Lytechinus pictus: one gene and its partner. The protein of the gene in region 2 purifies or fractionates together with the protein of the main gene of each other region. This does not show direct contact. Links are inferred from orthologs where the notes say so. Each region holds a gene or a part of one and is shown on either strand. Other genes may lie near its edges.

Region 1 (11,235 bases), on a different chromosome or scaffold from region 2:
CACAGAGCTTGCGGTACTCTCGGAATGAATTGTCTGGATGTTGGGGGTCACTGCCGTCCCCTTGGTAAGAGATTTTGGAGGGGGTTGGTGATGGGGTGGCAGAGGAGGAGGATGCTGCAGCAGAACTCGATGAGGTGTGGTGAGAGGATGCGGGCTGGCTAGTACCTGTAATCACAAAAGAATTGATGAAAGAGTTCAGATTATTATCATAATCATAATCATGATTATCTTTATCATCACCATCATCATCATCATCATCATCACCATCACCATCATCATCATCACCATCAACATAATCATCATCACTACAACTTCACCCTCAATCGTCCCATCTTGTGCAGTTGGGCCTTTCGCCTATCAAGTCCTTCAAATTTGTCAAACAAGAAACAGATCAGCATATAACTTACAATATCTTCAAGTGAAATCTTGATTTAGACTGACTGTTCAGCTTTGTTGCAAATGTAGTTGCAATAATAGTTTACCAACCACTGATAGCACATTTATCGATGGGATAAATTCTTGCAGGAGGGGCTTGTTCAAATTAGCTTCAATGCAAAGACTATTATTCATATTTTGCAATTCAATCCAATTCAAAAACACTTCCTTGAATGTTGTGATAACATTCAAGGATTACTTCCTGTTTGGTAACATTAAATATGCCGGTACCTAGATCTTCTGATTTTTCTTTCAGCCCATATTCTTCATTTCCCTCTTAAAAGCCATTTTTTTACATTATGTGACTGAAATATTTTTATATCTAGCCAACATTCCTCCCTTATACAAATTGCTTTCACAAGACCTGCTTCTTCAGAATCTAGTAAGAATCATTTCACATTTCCTTACAGACTTACTTGATTTTGGATGTTTGGATGGGGATAAAACTTGACCGCCTGTTGTAAGGACACCTTGAACTGTGCCTTTCTTCTTGGTTGGCGTTTTCTTGGGCGTTTTGACTCTGGACAATAGCTCTGTGTATGAAAAGATCCAGAAAACAAAAAAAGTACATTTAAATGATTGTTTATTAAAATCATGAAACTAGGGTAAAGGAAGAAGAAAACAAGAAAACAGTAAAATGACAATGAGTGAGAAAAGGAAGAACAAAGACAAAGGGAGGGGAAGACTGCCTACATGAGGAAATATGGCCAGATTCCAAATTCACAAATATTCTCAGGTTTCAACTGCACAAATACATTGAACATTCTCATTAAGATCAATAATGAAAGGTGCTGGAAATGGCGGGATGATGTTTCAACGGCCAGAAGATAATATAAGCAATAGGCAAAAAAGGGGGAATAAACTAAAACGCATTTAAGTAGCTGACAAAAATTCAATGTCTGTAACTAACTACATGTATGAACAACTTATATTTTTCAGATTTCAGAAACATGTCAAAGTAAACGTGACATTCTCACCTTCTATGTTCTTTCGGATTAATTTCTTCTCCTCGTCCTCCATCTTCTCAAAACCATCCAAGTCGCTTGGATCCTCAATCTTCTTCGTTGTCGCCCTCGCCCGAACAAACGTCTCAAACACACAGTTGATGTGGAAATAGTTCTTCATCATGCCCCCATCGTCACTGAAAGGATTTGCTGTGAGTTTGGCAATCCTGGGTGACTTCTTCTCGATCCCCTGCTTGCATCGCTTGCATTTTGATGTCCCAAGGCGGGCATAGTCAACCATGAAGGCTTTCTCATCATCCATTCCTGAAGCTGTCTTTGACAAAAGAGTACTAACCCTTGAAGAGGAACCAATCAGACCTAGGATTCGTTCTGCTTCTCTTATGAATTTGAATGAAAGTGCACTGCTTCGATAGGACTTTGGAAATTCAGGTTGTCTACAGGAGCAAGTGTCATATGTTAGTTGAAGATCAACAGTGAATGACACCGAGGTGTGATAAACTAGATGTTGCTGACCATGCCTTGCAGAAGCTCCTTTTAATGCAGTCCAACCACGATGGAATGCGGTGTAAACCTTAGATCTCATAGATCCACATCACCTGAATATCACTGTGATCAAAGAGAAATAAAAAACATAAGATAGTTACCAAACCTTCTTCTTATTCCTCCAACTCCCTATCAAAATGATAAATCATCACCATTACACACATGCCTATTCTCCTATAAAAGCCCATTTTATTTGGTAAACTCTCTTGAAAGTGTTGGTTCCTCCAGTTTACTACATGTATTTATGAATATGTAGGACTATGTCCTAATACTGTTATCGTGTGAATGCCATGAAATAAAAACACATGTTACTAAGTTAGATGGTGAATTTTTGTAATTTTGTAATTTTTTTATTTTGGTGGGGGGGATAGGTTAGTCTATAAGCAGATTAGGCAAAAATAATGGTCTTCGCTAAAGTAGGCGTAAGTTCACAAATATAGATCTCACAGCCTGCAATGTATATTTATTCATAAGTTAAAAACATATGTACATGTAGATGTCATAGCCTATATCTGTAGATGATGTATCTCAGGCAGCATTATTCCAGATGCCGAAATAAAATAAAGATAAAGAACTTTATATGTAGGCCCTAGGACTGGTCTCTATCTACTAATGGTCACTGCGCCCACTTTCAATCTTTTGTTGTTGTTGTTCGTTGTGAGCCTGTTTCATGCCCTAGTAGCCTCCTCAGCTCAGTAGACACTTAGTGTTGAGAACTCAAAGGTAGAAAATGTGCTAGGTAATTATTTTGTTGGTAAGCTTTTAAAAACTAAGTTAAGAAATACAAAAGAAATTAACTGGGAGCTACAGCTCACAAGTTCTTATGAACTTTTCAGTAGTTTCCGTTTTTCTCTCATACATGTAATTTTCATTCTTTATACATATTTGCATATTGTTTTTTATATTGGTGAGAAAATAAATAAATTGAACTTGAACAAAAGAAATTAAAAGGAAATTATGTTGTCATTTTTTTTTATCTTATGTTAAATATTAAATGTCAAAATTAATCTTTTTCACCAAAAATTAGTATTACTAGCAAAATGAGAAATTTAAAGTGAGCTAAAATTAAAAAAGGCAAATGTGATTTTCATATGCTTTTATTTGCATAGAATTAAAAAAAAATTAATTAAAAAATATACAATTTTTTACAAAATTATTTTTAAATTTATCATTGTCTTGACTCTTGTACTTTTTTGTAGTCAACATCCGACATTAGATCTACACCCTTGCAAATTTTCATGGCGATCGTGTAATCACTAAAAAAGACACTAATCAGTCATTCATTCAGTGTTCAAAGTGAAATTGGCATGCTATCGATCAAACTCAATTTTAACAACATTACTTATCTAATACTAAGTTAGTCAAAAGTTACACTGCACTCTGTCGATGTCAGCTGTGAGTGTGACTTTTCTTTGCAGCCGGCCCGGCACTTTTTTTGTCGTCTTCTTCTTCTTCTTCTTCAAGCTACACTGCCTCCTTCAATCCTGGAGATTCTTGCAGTATTGTAGTACCGGGGACCGGCAGGTGCAATACACCGGGTGAACACCCTACTCTTTGACGAATAGTGTATATTGGTTTTAACGTGCATAGGTTGTGACTCTCCTATACACGGGACCAACATTTGCGTCCTTTCCGATGGACGGAGTGTTTTCCAACTGCATTCACACCCGCACTGAACACAGCGGCGAGGCACGTTAACACACAACGCTAGCATCAGTTTTTTTGTTAGACGTCTTCCGGCATGCTGCGGGACTCGAACCCACGCACGTTGAGATCTACGATCTTATCCGGAACAGGCGCTCTAACCGACTGAGCTACACCGCCTCCCTGTCTTAACTCTTAATAGGGTGTCTGAAGCCACACTGAAAAGTGTCAGCATAAGACAGGCTGATTTAGGGGAAAATATGGAACATTTTTTTCGGGAAGTTCAGGCTACTAGAAAAATGTGATCTGAATTGATTATTAACTTGTGTTTGGCATGTATGGAAAGAGAAAATTCAGGGGCTTCTTTTGACAGTAAGGACAAGTTTATATGATCATTTTGAATAAGGATTTAGAGATAAATTGCAAACCCTTATTTTTGTGTGTGTTGAGATTGCCATTTCCCCATGCGTTTTCTATGGGAAAATGAAATTTCTGTTTTGCACAATTTTTTCACTTTGTCGCAATTTTTCATTGTGATCTGGTTTCCAAATCTTTATAAAAATCATACCATCAGAAAGAGCATAAAAATCCTATTGGACTCTTTATGGACAAGTTTTTGGCATTAATAATAAATTTATAACAGCTCTCGGAAGCTAAAAATTTGGATTTGTGTGTGTCCATTTCTTAACTACACAGTATGGCAGAGAAATGCTGAAAATTGACCTAATTTCATTCTTCTTTTTTGCAGCCAATAATCAGATTTTTTTCAAAAATGTTACATTTCTGTCAGTCTGAAGGTCATTTCTCTTCAAATTCACAAAGAAAATGTGATATTTTCTTGAAATAAGAAAAATAATATTTTTCTCCAGACACCCTAGGCCTACTCTTAATTACAATACAATTACAAATACAAACACCATATCACGGTCAGAGTCACATCTTTGCATTACACTTAAACATATTGAAAATATATAGTAAAAAAAATCATTCATGCCGTTTTTGAAAACATTAAACATTCAGCTCTCAACTCAAGCTCAAGGAAACGTGAGATTGGCCATTCACTTGCGTGCAAAATAAATCGCACATGCCGGTAATTAAACCGGCATCCACTTTTTATTGCATAGGCGGCAAGCACCGAGTACCAGATCAGAAAGCACACTCTTCACCTCTTGCATTTTCTGAGGAGGAAAATCCTTACATTAATGATGGAAAACACTGAACACTCCAGAAATCGGCACGGCTGAAGTCCATGTAAAACTGATCTTTACTCCAGGAAAGCAGTTAGATTTATAGTTCACTCCGAGAGTTCAGTCAATGATGCATGGTGCGATGATACACCACTACTTGTCCAATCATGCCCAAAACAATAACGTAATCGCTAAATGCGTTTTCGCGTTGGTGTTTGGACGTGTACCCTTTGCGTGTACCAGCCAGCTGCGTGTGTTGCATTTAGTCTGCAAACACAGACTCCTATTTGAATAATCATGTCTAGAGTGAAGCTGAGGTGAAGCCTATAAACTTCAAACTCTTTTTCTGTCTCTTTGTAGAGCCATCCATAGTATTCAGTGAATATAGTCTCACTAATTCAGACTATGCATATTGCATATATGCACTATGCGAATTGTGAAATCAAAGGGTTTGTGTCTGCAGACTATGTTGTATGAATTGCCAATATACGTCGAGACCTTACCATGCGTTGCATGGAAGTTGTATTAATCAATTGCAATCAATTACTAGTCAAATTTTGGTTAGAAAATCAGTCACAATTAATAAATCTGGCAATTATTGCGAATCCACACTTGATTGCTGATCTCCTTCTTTTAACAAGTAGTTAAAATAATATCATTATCAATTGTAGATTAATTTAGCAGCAAAAATTTGCAACTGATTGCATGCAAGTTTCTTTAGCACCGCGGGCTTAAGCAACACATGAGCCGAGTCAAGGCCGGGTGGATAGGCTAGGCATAAGGTATCACAGGCCTAATTCAATCCCCATAGACTCGTGTGTTAAAGTGGTACCTAAAAAGAATTCCTTAAAAATAAGGAGGAAATTCGAGGGTTGAATGTTTACTATCAGTGGATAGGATAAATGTCTGACATTCCATATCTGACCAGAAAAGGGTACCTCGACCGGCTCATTTTAAAAATAAATCAGCATTTATGAAGATCTACGGGATCAAATTCATCACTTGAGATCGAGAGTCAAATGGCCCTAATTCTTCCGCCCGTAAAAATTTAGTTCCATAGTGGTTATATATCTTTCCAATTTGGAAAAAAAGAAGTTCAGTACTACCCACTGGGCAATTTGTTACCGATTACCAATTTTACCGGTAATATCACCCGGAAATTTGAGTAACACCAAATATTACCGTTAATTATTACCATGTTATTACCGAAATTATAATTCCTGTTGATACCTGTTACTGTAATTATCACCCTGATGAAACCTACATTTACCTAGTTACAACAGGGTGATGAGGGGTAATAAGGGTAATGTTGAATGAGGTGGTCTTGCACGATTTCCTAGGAACTTTTCTTTCCTATCTTTCCTTTACTTTTTTTAACTGATATAGATTGAACAAAGAAATTATTCTTTTTGAAAAAAAAAGGGAAAGCAAATTTACAAGGCAACAATAGTCAAAACTGACTAGTTTGCCTATTTAAAATAACAACAACAACAACAAACTTTGATTGGTTATAACATTGCAAACTTTAGTAATAAGAGCAATCTTACAGCAATCCCAGCGAAATTTTCAAAGTCCAAAAAATTACTGTTATCACCCTGATGAAACCAACATTTTACCCAGTTACAAACAGGTTGATAAGGGGTAATGGGTAATGTTGAAACGCTTCCATTCCCAGACAGCAAAGTATCTGGATCACATACGGTTCTTATCTGGGATATCTGGGTCCCATATGGGCCCACATGGAACCCAGATGAAAACATATACTTGAACCCACATGGTGCCCAACAGTGGCGTAACTACGGGGGGGCATGGGGGGGCACGTGCCCCCCCCCCCCCCCAATCGGCTGACACACAAAAAAAAAAAACGGGGAAAAGGAGAAAAAGAGGGAGAAAGGAAGAGGAACGTAGTGGGAAAGAAGAAATTATTATTCATTATAATTGTATATTGTATTACAATCATGTTGTTATTTTACATAGGAAACATTTTTATCATAACTTTATGAAACATAATTTGCTCAGGGTCCATGTCTTCACTGTTCCTGGTGCTCGCATTGTCTGTTTAAAGAGATATATAAACCTGTTGTACGAAAACCTCCCGTTTTCAAGTCAATATACACCAAATATATTATTGTTTTATATAGTGACATATGGTTCTTTTTCATGACTACTTAAAGTGATTGCCCCATGTTAAGGTCTTAATATAAAACATTTCCTGTCCGTGATTACGTTCGCTTCAGTGGATTGGTGAGATATGTCTGCTCTCCATGAATTCCTAAAATCAGTCCTTGAAATATCCCTTTTTCTGCATGAGTCTAAATATCCAAAATTTTCAGCTCGCGCTTCGCGCTCGCATCAGTTGGTTAGTGAAATACGTATGGTCTTCGTGAATTCCTACAAACAAGCCTTAGACTGCCCCGCTTCAGGTCTGAATTATCTAAATTTTCAGCTCGCGCTTCGCGCTCGCAATATTTGATTAGTGAGATGCGTATGATAATCATGATTACATTGACTACAAAAAGTGCTTCATGTGTTCAGATGTGATTCTAACAAAATCAGCAAGCACCTGGCACTCGCATTACATGACTGTAGTGAAATATGTATACTCTTAATGGGTTCCTTTAAAAAAATCCTGTTTTGGGTCAATATATACACAAATTTCAGCTCGTGCTTCGCGCTCGCATCATTTGGTTATTGAAGTACGTATGGTTTCGCTAATTCCTACAAACAAGCCTTAAATTGCCCCTCTTCATGTTTGAAATTCCTAATTTTTTAGCTCGCGCTTCGCACTCGCAATATTTGATTAGTGAGATGCCTATGTTATTCATTATTACAATGACTACAAGTGTTTCATATGTGTTTAAATGTAATTCTAACAAAATCAGCAAGCGCTTGGCACTCGCATTAGATGACTATGGTGAGATATGTATAATATTAAGAGATTCCTAAAATATAGTCCTTAAGATCTCCCTGTTTGTGATCAATATATACAAAAATTTTCGGCTCGCGCTTCGCGCTCGCATTGTTTAGCGAGACAGGTACGTATCATGATCACAAAAATTCGATTGTTAAGTCCCTTTTTAGGTCTGAATATCAAAAATTTTCAGCTCGCGCTTCGCGCTCGCATTATTTGATTGCTGAGATGCGTATGTTATTCATGATTACAATGACTACAAGTGCTTCCTCAAAATGTCTCTATTAGGTCAGAGTACCTGACAACTAAGTGACTTAATTTTTTGCTGGTGCCCCCCCAATGCCGTGACCCACGGTACGCCACTGGTGCCCAGATAGGACTCAGATGGAAACGAGACCTCCAACCCATGCGGAACCCATTAATATTGGGTAAATGGAGTAATATCAGATGGTAAAATCAGGAAAATGCTGGGAATATTAGTTACTCATGAATATTCATTACTACAATAAATGGCCAAAATTTTAGCTAATATAGCTGTAATAATTAATATGTTTATGCAATTATTCCACCCAGAAAATTTTCAGAAAAATGTGTAGTTTATATATCATATTAGTCATAATCATGACATTAATTTTAGAAAAATGTTTTAGGGTTGAATAATTGTTAACCATAATTTGTCAAGTGTTGTAAACTCGCTCAATATATAGAAGTAAATGACAGGGTTTGGTGGATAGGTGTAGGATAGGATTAGGATTAGGATGTAGGATTTTAGGATAGGATAAGATGATATGGCTTAGAGTATGGAGTTGTAAAAATGTGCTTCAATGACCCTAATGACACTAATTGTTTTTTTAATGAGCCGACATTAATTGGGTAATATTGGGTAAACAGAGTAATATGAGGTGGTGATATCATTAAAATAACTGGAAATATCGGTTACATCATACTGGGTAATATTGGGTAAATTGAGTAATATCGGGTCCGGGTAATAACGGGGAAAGATTGGTCTACTATTTCCCCGTTACTACCCACTGGTGTTACCGTGGTAATAACTACGTTATTACCTGTTACAACCCGGGTAATATCGGGTAAAATGCCCAGTGGGTAGGTGCCCTCCCTAGAATCAGTGTTAGATTCATAGGCGGATCCAGCTTTTGGCGAAAGGGGGGGGGGGCGCACTGCATGCCGAGCGCGCGGCGCACTTCACCGGCGCCCGAAAGGGGTAAAGTCTGACCCTGTCAAAATAATGCTCTTTTCAAAATGTATAGGATTTCCAGTCATGTCATTTTGCATGACCATACGCAGATAATATTTCCAGGGGGGGGGGCAAGACTCGAAAATTTGGTGCACGTACATCTCACATTTGCACATTTTTCATAGTTTTCATGAAATGTTAAGGGGGAAAAAAAAATCGTTTTTCACAACAGCAGATCGCGAATGTGCCCTCCCCCCCTTCTCCCTTGCTGCGTACGACCATTCCCTGAATTCCACTTAAACATATCTCATTATAACAGAAATATACATCAATTTAAAAATATAATCTTTCTAAAACATAATTATATAGAGAGAGATTGAAAAACTTAATTAAAGAAAGAAACAAGCAAAAAGTAACACAAATTATCATGCATGTTATGTGCGATTTCAAAATCTCGTGTATTAACCCTTTTATTGCGATGAGGCCAATACATTTGTATATTAATAGAAATACAAGCTTTTTTACTATATGTATATATATATATATATATATATATATATACACGGGGGCGTCGATCCTTTTTTTAAGATTTGAGGGGCAAAATCATGAATCAACTTTCCAAAGGCGCTCGATATCACACAAAACAAACAAATTCACACAAACACACACACACATATGCATATATATATATATTTATATGACTCATGAGATAGAAACACATATCTCACCAACAAATTAATGCGAGCGCGAAGCGCGAGCTGAAATTTTTTACTGACCTGAAAACAGGAAAAAGGTGCCTGTTTAGGACTGTTTGTAGTAACTCATGAGGAGGATATACATATCTCACTACACAGATAATGCGAGTGCCGAGGGCGAGCTGAAATTTCTTTATATTCTGACCAGAAAGCTTGATATTCTATGCATTTTTGGTACCAATGATTAAGATGGGTATCTAAAAAAAACAATAGATGCGAGTGCGAAGCGAAAAAAAAATGACAGTTTAATGGATGTTTGTATAATAAAGAACAAGATTATATCCAGGAAAAGATTATTGCAAATCGAAGCGGGAGTTCTTTTGACGTTTAGTCCTGAAAAAGGGACATTCTATTCACCTATTTAATCATGAAAAGTATGGGGTTTTGCTACTGACAGAAATGACGCGAGCTGAAAATTTTTATATTCCAATCTGAGAAGCGGATAATTTAAAGGAGAATGAAAGCCTTGAAACCAGCTGAATCCATATCAAAGAGAAAAATCAAAGAAACATATTGTTGAAAGTTTGAGGAAGATTCATGAATAATAAGAAAGTTATGAGCATTTGGATATTGAGATCACTTATGCCATGTAGATCCTCCCATTGGCAATGCGACCAAGATCTGTGATGTCACACACGTACAACTCCCTCATTACTTTAGTACTTATTTCACTTATATTCTCACTTTTATAGAGTCTATCACAAGGTGAGGTGTTCTCTTTATGAGAGGACAAGTACAGATGTTTCACAACATTATATCATTGATGAATCGTTTGTCATATGATTAGAATGAGCAAAAAGAGATGTTTTGGGGTATATTTTCAGCACTGGCGTAAATCCGTGTTGATGGGTGGGGGGGGGGGTGACTGAAATATTTTGGCATTTTTTTTGCAATCATGTTTTTAGATATGCAAGGAATTGCCATTGATATGTCCACAGTGGCGTACCGTGGGTCACGGCATGGGGGGGGGGGGGCACCAGCAAAAATTTTGAATCACTGCTGAGTGAGTGCGCTAGTGAGCGCGCTCAGTTGCCAGTTATACTGACCTAATAGAGACATTTTAAGGACAATGTCATTAAACTGATATGTATCTCACTGATCAAATAATGCGAGCGCGAAGCGCGAGCTGAATTTTTTTTATATTCACATCTAAAAAGGGACATTATAGTCAAATTTGTGTAATCATGATAGGTACCTGTCTCGCTAAACAATGCGAGCGCGAAGCGCGAGCTAAAAATTTAGATAATTCAGACCTGGAGTGGGGCATTCTAAGGTTTTTTTTTGTAAGAATTAACTAGGACCATACGTATTTCATTAACCAAATGATGCGAGCGCGAAGCGCGAGCTGAAATTTTTTGATATTCAGATCAGAAGGGACATTTTAAGGACTGATTTTAGGAATTTATGAAAAGCAGACATATCTCACCAATCCACTAATGCGAACGTAATCACGGACAGGAAATGTTTCATATATACGAAGACCTTAACATGGGGCAATCACTTTTTGAGTCGTGAAAAAGAAGCATATGTCACTACATAAAACAATGATAACTCAAGTGCTAGGAAATATATTTGGTTTATATTGACTTGAAAACGGGAT
Region 2 (11,034 bases):
ATACATAAATAGAATAATAAATGAATGAATGAATACATGAATAAATAAATACATAAATAGAATAATAAATGAATGAATGAATATACATAAATAAATAAATAAATAAATAAAAATAATGTATGAATGAATACATACATACATATAGGCCTACATACACACATAGATACTTACATAGATAGATAGATAGATATAGATAAAACCATTACCATCACCATATTCGTCGAGCAATGCACCTATAACCGAGAAACAATAATCAACGTCCATGCATGATAAACAAACAAATCACTTTGAAAAAAAAAATGCACATTAGCCTAATCGAATTATTCAAAAGAATGAGGGAAACCAAAGAGGTTGGATTTGAAATTTAAAGGGGTACTCCAGGCTGAAAATTTGATCAGAGTCGGACAAGGAAAATATGGCATTTTAAAGATTTACATTATCCTGGTGTGAAACAGTTCTAGGCATGTCTTCATGATTAATGAGCATACTGATGATGTCGTATCCCCACTTGTTCTTTTGTATTTTATTATATGAAATTAGGTTTATTCATTATTTTCTTTCAAGAACCAAAAATATTGAAATAACAACTGATTAATTGCATTAGATATTCACTGCTGCAACTTATTTCATTACAAGGGAGACATAATAATTCACACATGTATGAAAAAATGAAACAATTATGATTTCATTGTATAACGTAAGAAAAGGGAAAGTGGTAATGTGACATCAGCCCATCTAATGAATACTCATAACGAGTAACGACTTGCCGACGTCTATAGCTGTTTTTACAATATATTGCTAAAGAAAAACTTAAAAATTCAAAAACTTCGCTATTTGTTATCAGATTTTGATGAAATGTTTAGCCTTTTGCTACGTGAATTTTATGTATTTATAGATATAAATATTTTCAGCCCGGATCCTCCCTTCGCATCCTTTTAAGGTAATTTACTTTTATTTTTGGAATTGTTATGCTTTATAAATTATATCTTATCTCTATTGCCATTATCATCATTACCATCAGTAGCGTGAGCATCACCAATGATTGAATGGTATACACCAAATAAGTTACAATAAATACAAAGCTGTTTTACGGGCTCGGTGTAAAAATGGTAGAGGTAAAAATGGTAGAGGTAAAAATGGCAATGGTAAAAATGGCAGAGGTAGAAATGGCAGAGGTAAAAATGGCAGAGGTAGAAATGGCAGAGGTAAAAATGGCAAAGGTAAAAATGGCAAAGGTATAAATGGCAACGGTAAAAATGGTAGAGGTAATAATGGCAGAGGTAAAAATGGCTGAGGTAAAAATGACAGAGGTATTTGAAATGGCCAGTCTTAACCCCCATGCCAAAAAATAAAATAAAAAACCTCCATGTACAGTAAATTAAATAAGAAAGGTTCTTAGAAGAAAATAAGAATTATAATGTTGGACTAATGGAAAGGGTAACATTTTAAAATCATACTTTATATCTTCTGCACCAAATTGATAGCACTTGGGTTGGTATTTCTTTTATTTCCTGGACTTACATGCACGGCCTTCTCTAGTCAAATCGCTTTTATAATATTCAAATTTGAAGCACACTTTTGATCCCATGCAAGTATAATGCTTAAGGGGAAATTCACCCTGACATAAAGTTTATTGTAAAAATAACAGAAAATAATTAAAATGATATTGGTATGGTGAGGGTTTTAGGGAATCCATCAAAGATTTAAAAAGCTATTAGAATTTTATATTTTAATGGTGACGTCATTTGCGAGTAATTTTTCCCATATATGGTGTAATAAAGATGAAATGTCATTTTCTAAAAAAGAATAAAATGGTTTTTATATACCAAGTTATGTATTTCAACATATCATTTCACATCCGCTCCTGAAAGATATTTTTAGTGATCATGAACCACTGATTAAAATAGTGAAAAGTATACATTTTGGTGCACAGAATACGGGGCAGATACTCGTATATGACGTCACAGATCACTTAATTTTCTGCTAATTTTACAGTAAACTGTGATATCCCTGATTAGAAAGTAATGAAAAGTCTGAATGCAAAGACTATCACAAAGAACTGCCACATATTTTAGCCACGATTGTGTAACAGTGACGTTGTAATTGCAAACACACAAGTAAAGTTATGAAACTTAATATATTTCAAGCCTAGAACCAAGTTATTCAGTCGCGTGAACTATGAAGTGGCATGTCTGAGGAATGACTGATTATGATTTGGACTGATTCGAAGCTTAGATGTTAAATAAACCATTTGTCAGGGTGAACTTCCCCTTCAAAACACGTCGATAGAATGGTAGAAACGCCTATTTAAATCTCTGATTCGCTATACACATTTCCAAATTCATGCGGTAGCCATTACCATAGAAACTAGTTAAGGAACTTGACACTCTCTTGGACTAGCTGCAAAGAGGTATTGCTCTGAAAAACTTAACACTAATTGCTATTATTATATCATTTACATTAAACTATATACGTATCATATCAATTCTTTTCGGATCCATTATGATGTTGAAATATGAATAATCACCTTTATTACAGAACGTTTTGTTATTTTTCTGTTATCCAAGTTATGCAAGTGGTTCGAAGAAATCCCGAACTTGTCTATTTCAGTGTGTTAATGGTAGCGCACATAGGTGTTTACATTAAAATTCGTTTGGTATGTACCCGGGGTATGTATGTGTTGAAGTGCTGTTCTACTGTACGAACTGGCCAAGATAAATCCTTTAATCACTCACTAATTGAAATCATTTTGGTATGAAAATGTTTTGGTTCAATCCAATCATATCAACGATAAAGTCGGGGATAAAGTATTAACCTATATATGAAATGATGAAAAAAATCCAAATAATATGTTCATAATACTAATTTCGATAAGAGTCCATTCAAGGTCAATAATTATGACTGATATTAACTGGAAAGGCTCTGTCTTTTCCTTGTTGATGTAGCATGCTGTCATGATCTTAATCCCTGTCATTTTTGCCTCTGCCATCTTTTCCTCTGCCAGTTTTAATTATGTCATTTTACCTCTACCGTTATTACCTCCCCGGGGCAGTCATATTTATTGCTGTACACATGTGTGACCAAATTATTTCCAGACACCCCCTACACGAGTTTTCTTTGTGTGCAAGATAACCCCCTAAACAAGTTTTTGCGGGCTTCAACCCTAAACAAGTTGCCGCCAGAATATGACCCCTAAAAAAGTTTCACCATACGTTAACCCGTTTTTCAGGGCCGTTGCTTACAATCGGGAAGAACCCGAACACTTTTCAGAAACGAGGAGGAAAAGCTCGGCTAAAAAACATACCCTAAACACGTTTGGTCAGTCTTAAGAAAAGCTTTGGAAAAAATACCCTAAATACATTTGACCCCGTGATTGACCAGTCTTTCAAAACCACCCTTTTTGTTTAAAATCGGTGTTTTTTATACCCTTAACGAGTGCTCGCGCGGCCCGCGTCTAAAACTGATAAAAAACCTTTAAACGCGTTTTTTTTTTTGGTCACGCATGACTGGCCAACCCCCCCCCCCCCCGGATTACCTTTGCCATTCTCACTTGTCATTTTTGCCTCTTCCATTTTTACCTCTACCATTTTTGCCTCTGCCATTTTTACCTCTGCCATTTTTACCTCTACCATTTTTGCCTCTGCCATTTTTACCTCTGCCATTTTAACCTCTGCCATTTTTACCTCTGCCATTTTTACCTCTGCCATTATTACCTCTGCCATTTTTACCTGGCACCGTTTTCCGTGATTATTTCAATAGACTAGTCTATACAGGAAGAATCATTTTAATTTAGTGATGAAGATTTAAAAAAGGGTAAGGGGGCCTACATGTAAGAGATGCCCAGAGGTAAGAGAGGAAATAAAACAAGGGTCTAGAGCGAAATAAATTTAATTGCAGAGATACAAGAGACAGGTCCGCACTATAGAGGAAATGAAAGTGCAGAAAAGAATCAGAGAGAAAGAAAAAAGAAGGAGTCGGAATAAGAGAGAGGGGGAGGCCAACTTTAGTAATATGAGGGCTGGGAGAGATAAATCAGTAAAACAGAAAACAAATGGTTTGCAGGTCATTATTTTATTTTAAAAAATATTTTTGTATGAATCATTATTATATAGGACAGTGATATACATGTATTTCCAAATCAATGAAATCAGTAGCAATGCATGCATGGCAACACTCGGGGCGGCGGAACCGGGGGCACTTGCCCCCCTCCCCCCAAAAAAATCCCCTCAGGAAGATATGACCTTTTTTCAAAATGGAAAATGCCCTTTTTTTAATGAAATGTGCCTTTTTTTTAAATGAAATACCATTTTCGAAGTAAAACTTAAGGTTAGAAAATGACAAAATTTTTGGCTCGCGTTGCGCGCTCGCATCAATTACTGTTTAATAACTCATCATGTTTTTTATTACATAAATGCTAAGAATATCCAGTTTTCAGGTTGGAATAGCAAAAATTATCAGCTCGCGCTCGCTTTATTCGATTGGTGAATGCATGAGTCCCTACATGCAGTCATTAACAGGTTTCATTTTCTGGTCAGTTTATTAAAAATCTTTTTCATGTTTACAAAACTGCCGCGAAATACTGAGTGTCCAAAAGTTTGAGCTCGCGATTCGCGCTCGCAACATCTCCCAAGGATGCCGTTTTAACAGTGATTATCATTAGCGTCATAACTTAACAAAAGCGAGTTTTCAACTTCAGATTTGATTTTTTTCCAAACCACTCGCTCGCTGCACTCTCTCACGGAAATATAATAAAGCCTAAATATATATCTTATCAATCAGAAATTAATTCAAAAAAGCTTTGCTAAACTTTATTACTACTAATTACTCTTCTATGATAATATGATTATATCAGAAAGGCCATTGGCCTATGCTGGCTCCCATATTCTCATTTATTCTTTTGTTAAATGTATTTCTATTTTTGTATCTTTATTTGTATATAGTGCATTCTTTGATTTGTATGTTGTATGTTTTTTAATGAGAATTTGGAATAAATAAATGAAATGAAATGCTGATATCCGTAATTTGCATCAAAATGCCCATTTTAACATGCCCTTTTTTGGTTTTGCATCCCCCAAACGAAAATTCGTTCTGCCACCACTGGTAACATTTTTTATTTTAAATAATTCATGATAGTTATCTAATGAAAACCGAGAAACAATAATATGTATCCATGTACTTAATGATGATCCCTCTATTTTTAGATTATATTTTACAAAAGTATTATATTTCGTTAAAATTATGTTGTTAAATAAATGGGAATAGAGAACAATGGTAGACGTAGCTATAATCATGATTCCCCAGAGCTAACATCCCTTTTAGAAAATTTGGTGAGGTCGAAAGACTCGAATATATATCTATATAGAGAGAGAGAGAGAGAGAGAGAGAGAGAGAGAGGGGGGGGGGGAATTAAGCATGTGCAACAGCTTTGGCAACTCTTTTATTCAAATATTTTGTGAAAGAAATGGATGAAGAGAACAATGGTAGGCGAATGTTTAAGCTACGCCTCATTTCATTGAAATATATATATATATATACATATATATATATATATATATATATATATATATATATATATATATATATATATATATATATATATATATATATATATATATATATATATATATATAAGACATCAGAAATGCGAAAAAAATTCACGAGTAATGCAGTTTTTGAAGTGCCAACAGTTAAGTTCTTTAAGTTCTTTAAGTTCTTTAAGTTCTTTTAAGTTCTTTTAGTTCTCTCTCTCTCTCTCTCTCTCTATATATATATATATATATATATTTCAATGAAACTTGCTAATTCCATAGCTTATAATAATACCTTTTCAATCACTTTTTTTTCATGAATATGAGAACACAATGAAAAAAAGGAGAAATGTATATATAGGCCTAATATTCAAAATCACTGATGTGAGGCCACTTTTCAAAACCATAAATTATCCCGTAAATCATGTCCAATAAATTACAGAGGGTAAAAAAAATATATATATAAAATCTGCGTCCTTTTCTTTCCAACGTCCCGAAATTGCGAAAGAAACGTTCGGCGTTCCATATCATGTTGCAACACGTTTGTACATTTTCCTTTGTTTACCGTTGTTCACTTTAATATTTGTGACAGGATCGCGATCGAGGACTCTTCTTTGACTTGAACTTGTATTTCCGGATTTCCGTACGAACACTTTAACTCCTAAGAAGCCGGGTCAGAACGAAAATTCAAGATGAGCAAGAGAAAAGCACCAGATAGCAACAATCCTAACCAGGAATTTGTCGACTTTCTTGTCGGTAAGCTTAATTCGAGGTGTCCATCCAAGTCTTTTAATAATATTAATAGCTCCAGCTGCAGCGCGACCGGGGCAACGGCCCGGTATCGGCACCGTACGGCCATGACGGCGGAGGCTCGGAGCTGCAGTCGTGGCCTGTCTGCAGGCTAGAATCAAAACTGAATCTGTCCCAGCGTTGCATTGAATTGTTTCGCCCACTGTATGTTAAAGTGGCATGCCGTTAAAGTTGGGGATACAAATACGAAAATATTGTATTTACATAATAAAGATGATTAGGCCCTGGGGGGGGGGGGGGCACTCGGTATCCCTGATAGCAGAAACTGGTAAAAATGACGTCATAATTACGTCAGTTTAACGACGAGAGTCACGTCATTTTGACGTCGTATCATGACGTCTTATTGACGGGATCTTGCACCCGCGAATAACGTCATTATGACGTCGTATATTGACGTCATTATGACGTCTCCAAGAGTGACTACGACGTCTTAATGACGTCTTAGCAACGTTTTTACAACGTTTTCCTGACCAGTATCAAGGGTCAGAATGACGTCGTGTATTGACGTGATTATGACGTCTTCGAGAGTCAACAACGACGTCTTAATGACATCCGTGTAACGTGTTCCTGACCGGTTTTAGACGTCATATTGATGTAATTATGACGTCTTTAAAAGTCATCTACGACGTCTTAATGACAACTTTGCGACGTATTCCTGACCAGTTTTAGACGTCATATTGATGTAATTATGACGTGTTTATAAGTCAACTACGACGTCTGAATGACGACTTTGCAACATATTGCTGACTAGTAATAGACGTCATATTGACGTCGCATATTGAAATGAATATGACGTCTTTTGGAGTCAACTATGATATCTTAACGTATTCTGACGTGATAATGACCTAAACATTAAATTCTACATGCAATGTACATACACACATCACTTCAAAGACCTTGTCATTGAGGATTATCTATATTTGGTGAATACTGAGGTGGTCTGACAATGTCCAGCATTCCCAGTAACAATATAATGATCCTCCATGCCAGGGCCTTGCATAACTTGTCTCGGTCTCAAGAACATGACCCCCCCCCCCCCGAAAAAGAATATATACAAAAATGGAAAACGAAATCAAATACATGTACGCATTTCAATTACGAAATCGTGGCAAATATTCTATTAATAAATAAAAGTTGCATAACATATTACCAGCAAAAAAAAAGGAATACAAAATGTTGAAAACTCTAAATAGATTGAAAAAAAAAACACTTTTCTATGAAAATGCAGTATTAGGGTCAAAGGAATGAAATTACAATGTTTGTTATACCAATACATACAATTGTACATGTATAAATACACATTAATACATAACAGAGGCATAATGATCTCCAAGAATAAAGCTTTTTCGTTGAAATTGTAATTAAATATACCTTCAACTTTAGACAACTATGTAATGTAGGTAAAAATATACTGTATGTAAAAAAAAATACCCGAGTTGGAATAGTTTCAGGATTTATGGAAGCTCGCATTTGGGTGAAAGAATCATACATGTACATTAATTCTTATGAAATGTTTGGGTTGTATTACACTATCACTTAGGGCCAGGGGTAAAAGACAGTAGTTGCAGCAAACAATTATTTCTTCGGAAAGTCTCTTAAATTAAGGTTAATTGTCAAAATATTGTACATAATCTAGATCTGGGCCCTGTCTTACAAAGAGTTACGATTGATCCGATCAATCATAACTCTATGGAAATCCATCAGTGTCATAATTTTTTCTACGAAAAATTTGCACAATGTCCTTTGTATGCAAAGAGAAGCGCAGCGAATTTTTGAGAAAACAATGAATGCATGAACATACATCATAGCTAGAAAATATTTTGAACAAACATGCTTAATAGATGTTAACGTTGCTGACCGTCCATAGTTGCGATTGATCGGATCAATCATAACTCTTTGTAAGACGGGGCCCTGGTAAATTAATGTAAACTTGTATCTTTGTAAAATCATGAATTTTGATCTTAAAATCAATAATTCTGATGATCACTAACACAGAAAAGCATATGTGGGACAGGACAGTGTATTATGATTGATTTGAAAAATATCCGACATTTGATAGAATTACATGCTTATTTTGCTCATTTCTCAGCAATTACACATTTTCTTCCCGAGCTTTTTGGCACACATCTTTTATATATACATACACTTTGCTGGTAATTCTGTTGGATTCTGTTCGAACTCATTTTAAGATAGTTACTACTAGAGGTGCGCTATTAACTTAAGGCAACTATGCAATGTAGGACAAAATATACTGTATGTAAAAAAAAAAAATACCTGAGTTGCTAAGTTTTCAGGATTTATGGAAGCTTGCATTTGGGTGAAAGAATCATGCATCAATAAGTCTGATGAAAATAGTTTGTGGAACTGTTGTATTACACTATCACTTAGAAGGAAAAGACAGTAGTTGCAGCAAACAATTATTTCTTGAGAAAATCTATAAAATCAAAGTTCATTGTCAATATATTGTACATAATCTACATCTGGTACATTAATGTAAACTTGTATCTTTGTAAAATCATGAATTTTTTAACTTAAAATCGATAATTCTGATGATCGCTGTAAACACAGAAAAGCATATGTGGGACAGTGTATTATAATCGATTCGAAAAATATCTGACATTTGATAGAATTACATGCTTATTTTGCTCATTTCTCAGCAATTACACATTTTCTTCCCTACATGTAGCTACGTAGGCTTTTTATGTGAGCTGAGAGATTTCATACCAGATTTCCTTTGCTTGATAAAGTTCTTTAATATGATAGTCTGTGTATCAGCATAGCATGTGTTCAGTGTTTTGAACCCACTGGAAATTGTGCATCATATCTTTATGTATGGAAGTCATTTTGCGTCTGCGGTCTCCATGGTTTTGTCAGGATCTATGTGTTGACTAGACCAGTCCCATATTGATATTTTCATGCTGTGTCACTTTGGAAGGCCGTCTCTAATTGGTTGACTGGTGAGTTGGCAGATGCACAGCCCATCCCACTTTTCAATTATATCATTACGTAATCTCTAACATGTCTAAGATATCCACAAGATCAAGAGGCCGTTTGCACTCGGCTAACGCATGTACACAATCCTCTGCTTCATCATTAACTGGATCTAAACAAAGCCCAGCATACCTAGATCATATTGATACAGTCGTTCAAAGAGCGGTGGCCGTGGTAATGGAACGCGAGAGACAAAAACTCAATGATGACATGGATAAGCGCGAAAATAAATTGCGTGAAATTCTTGATGAAAAGCTCACTAGTCTACACGTTCTTGAAATATCTATCGATACTAAATTGAAGCAACTCCGTGATTTTGAAAAATCGGTTTCTGATAACATGACTAACACCATAATGCTTTGTCAAATAGGCTTGACCACATCGAGCAGTACTCCTGTCGCAATAATATCCGTATCCGTATGAGATTGTTCGAAATGTAGCAAAGCAGATTGGTATCGATCTTACTCCATGTGACATTGATCGATCCCATCACCTTTGCCGACCAACTAGCAGTCATGATGTTCAACCCAAAGGATCATACCCCGGCGTGGCCCTGTAATGCCAACTTAGCAGCTCCACCAATCAATGTGAAATTCACTTCATACAGGCTGAAACAAACGATGATGAAAAATAGAGGAAAATGAAAATGCTCAGGAACAGATGACTGGGTGCAGGCAGGCAAGGCAGTTCAGGTGGGATGAAAATTTATTGGCAGGACACCTTCCGTTTCAAATTACAGCATCTGCAAAAATAACAGAAGAGGAGAAACATAAAAACTTTTTCTACATAAACTATTTATTAATCTTCATTAAAAATTAGATGGTTTCAATATTAATTTCCAATTTATTTTAAATGATTAAAAAACGATGTGGGGTTTGTTACATATTTTATACTTCAAATATTAACATGTTAAGTCAAGTCGGGGGGGGGGGCATGATGCCCTCAAGACCTTTAACCATCTCTGTATAAGGAAGGGAATTTTAGAATCAATTTATTTGACACATAAAACATATTATTTTTTTATAATTACAATTTTAATTCATGCCTTTTTTATGTGTTTTAAATGGTTATGGGGTAACCAGGACTGTCAGGACCGAGAATTCGAACTTCGAGGCTGAAATACAGCCATTCCCTATGCCTGATTTGGCTTAAATTCAGGTCAAGGATCAATTAAATATATATTTTGAGAAAAAAAATCTGACAAATTTAGAGGTGGAATTAGTTTTCTGGCATCGCGAGATCGACCAATGCAAAATTTTATTAGCGCCAATTTACCATCTAAACTTGTCATTGAAATTAGAACGTCCAAACCGATCTAGTACCAGTACTAGCACAATGAATCAATCAGCTATGCATGTGCACCAATTCTGTATTTCTTGCATACGTACGTCACTCGAGTTATGGTTCATGTCATTGCGTTATATAGCGTAGGAATTGTAAGAAAGTGATCCTTCAAAATTTTTACCTTCCAACAATTAACATTTTTTAAGCCTTTGTATGCATTTAGAGTACAAAAGCTTACAAATTGGACAAATTAAATGTTTGCCCCAAAATTATTGTGGGAAGGGTGGATTTTCTAGGGAAATCCATCCTAGTGTACAAAGTTCTACAGGCAACAGAGACTTGTCTAGGCTCCGTGAATGAAAATACAATGAAAAAATATCACAGAGTCCTCGAAGTACAGTCAGGACCATTAACAGATTAT

The links. Proteins that work in one complex are often made in the same cells at the same time.
Region 1: the proteins of DNA polymerase beta-like (region 2) and DNA ligase 3-like purify together in Homo sapiens (affinity purification with mass spectrometry; 3 studies listed by BioGRID and IntAct, counting the BioPlex papers as one, with this or other methods). This does not show direct contact. The link is inferred for Lytechinus pictus from reciprocal best matches to the Homo sapiens genes POLB and LIG3.

Annotation. Positions count from the first base shown.
Region 1 is NC_087258.1:1,783,900-1,795,134, reverse strand, and holds the start of DNA ligase 3-like, read right to left. Parts: upstream 4,956-11,235; 5' UTR 4,786-4,955; exon of another isoform or gene 4,482-4,785; intron 3,401-4,481; exon of another isoform or gene 2,007-3,400; 5' UTR 1,984-2,006; coding exon 1,413-1,983; intron 969-1,412; coding exon 852-968; intron 166-851; coding exon 1-165. UniProt on the Homo sapiens protein: Isoform 3 functions as a heterodimer with DNA-repair protein XRCC1 in the nucleus and can correct defective DNA strand-break repair and sister chromatid exchange following treatment with ionizing radiation and alkylating agents.
Region 2 is NC_087262.1:20,690,263-20,701,296, forward strand, and holds the start of DNA polymerase beta-like, read left to right. Parts: upstream 1-6,026; 5' UTR 6,027-6,220; coding exon 6,221-6,284; intron 6,285-11,034.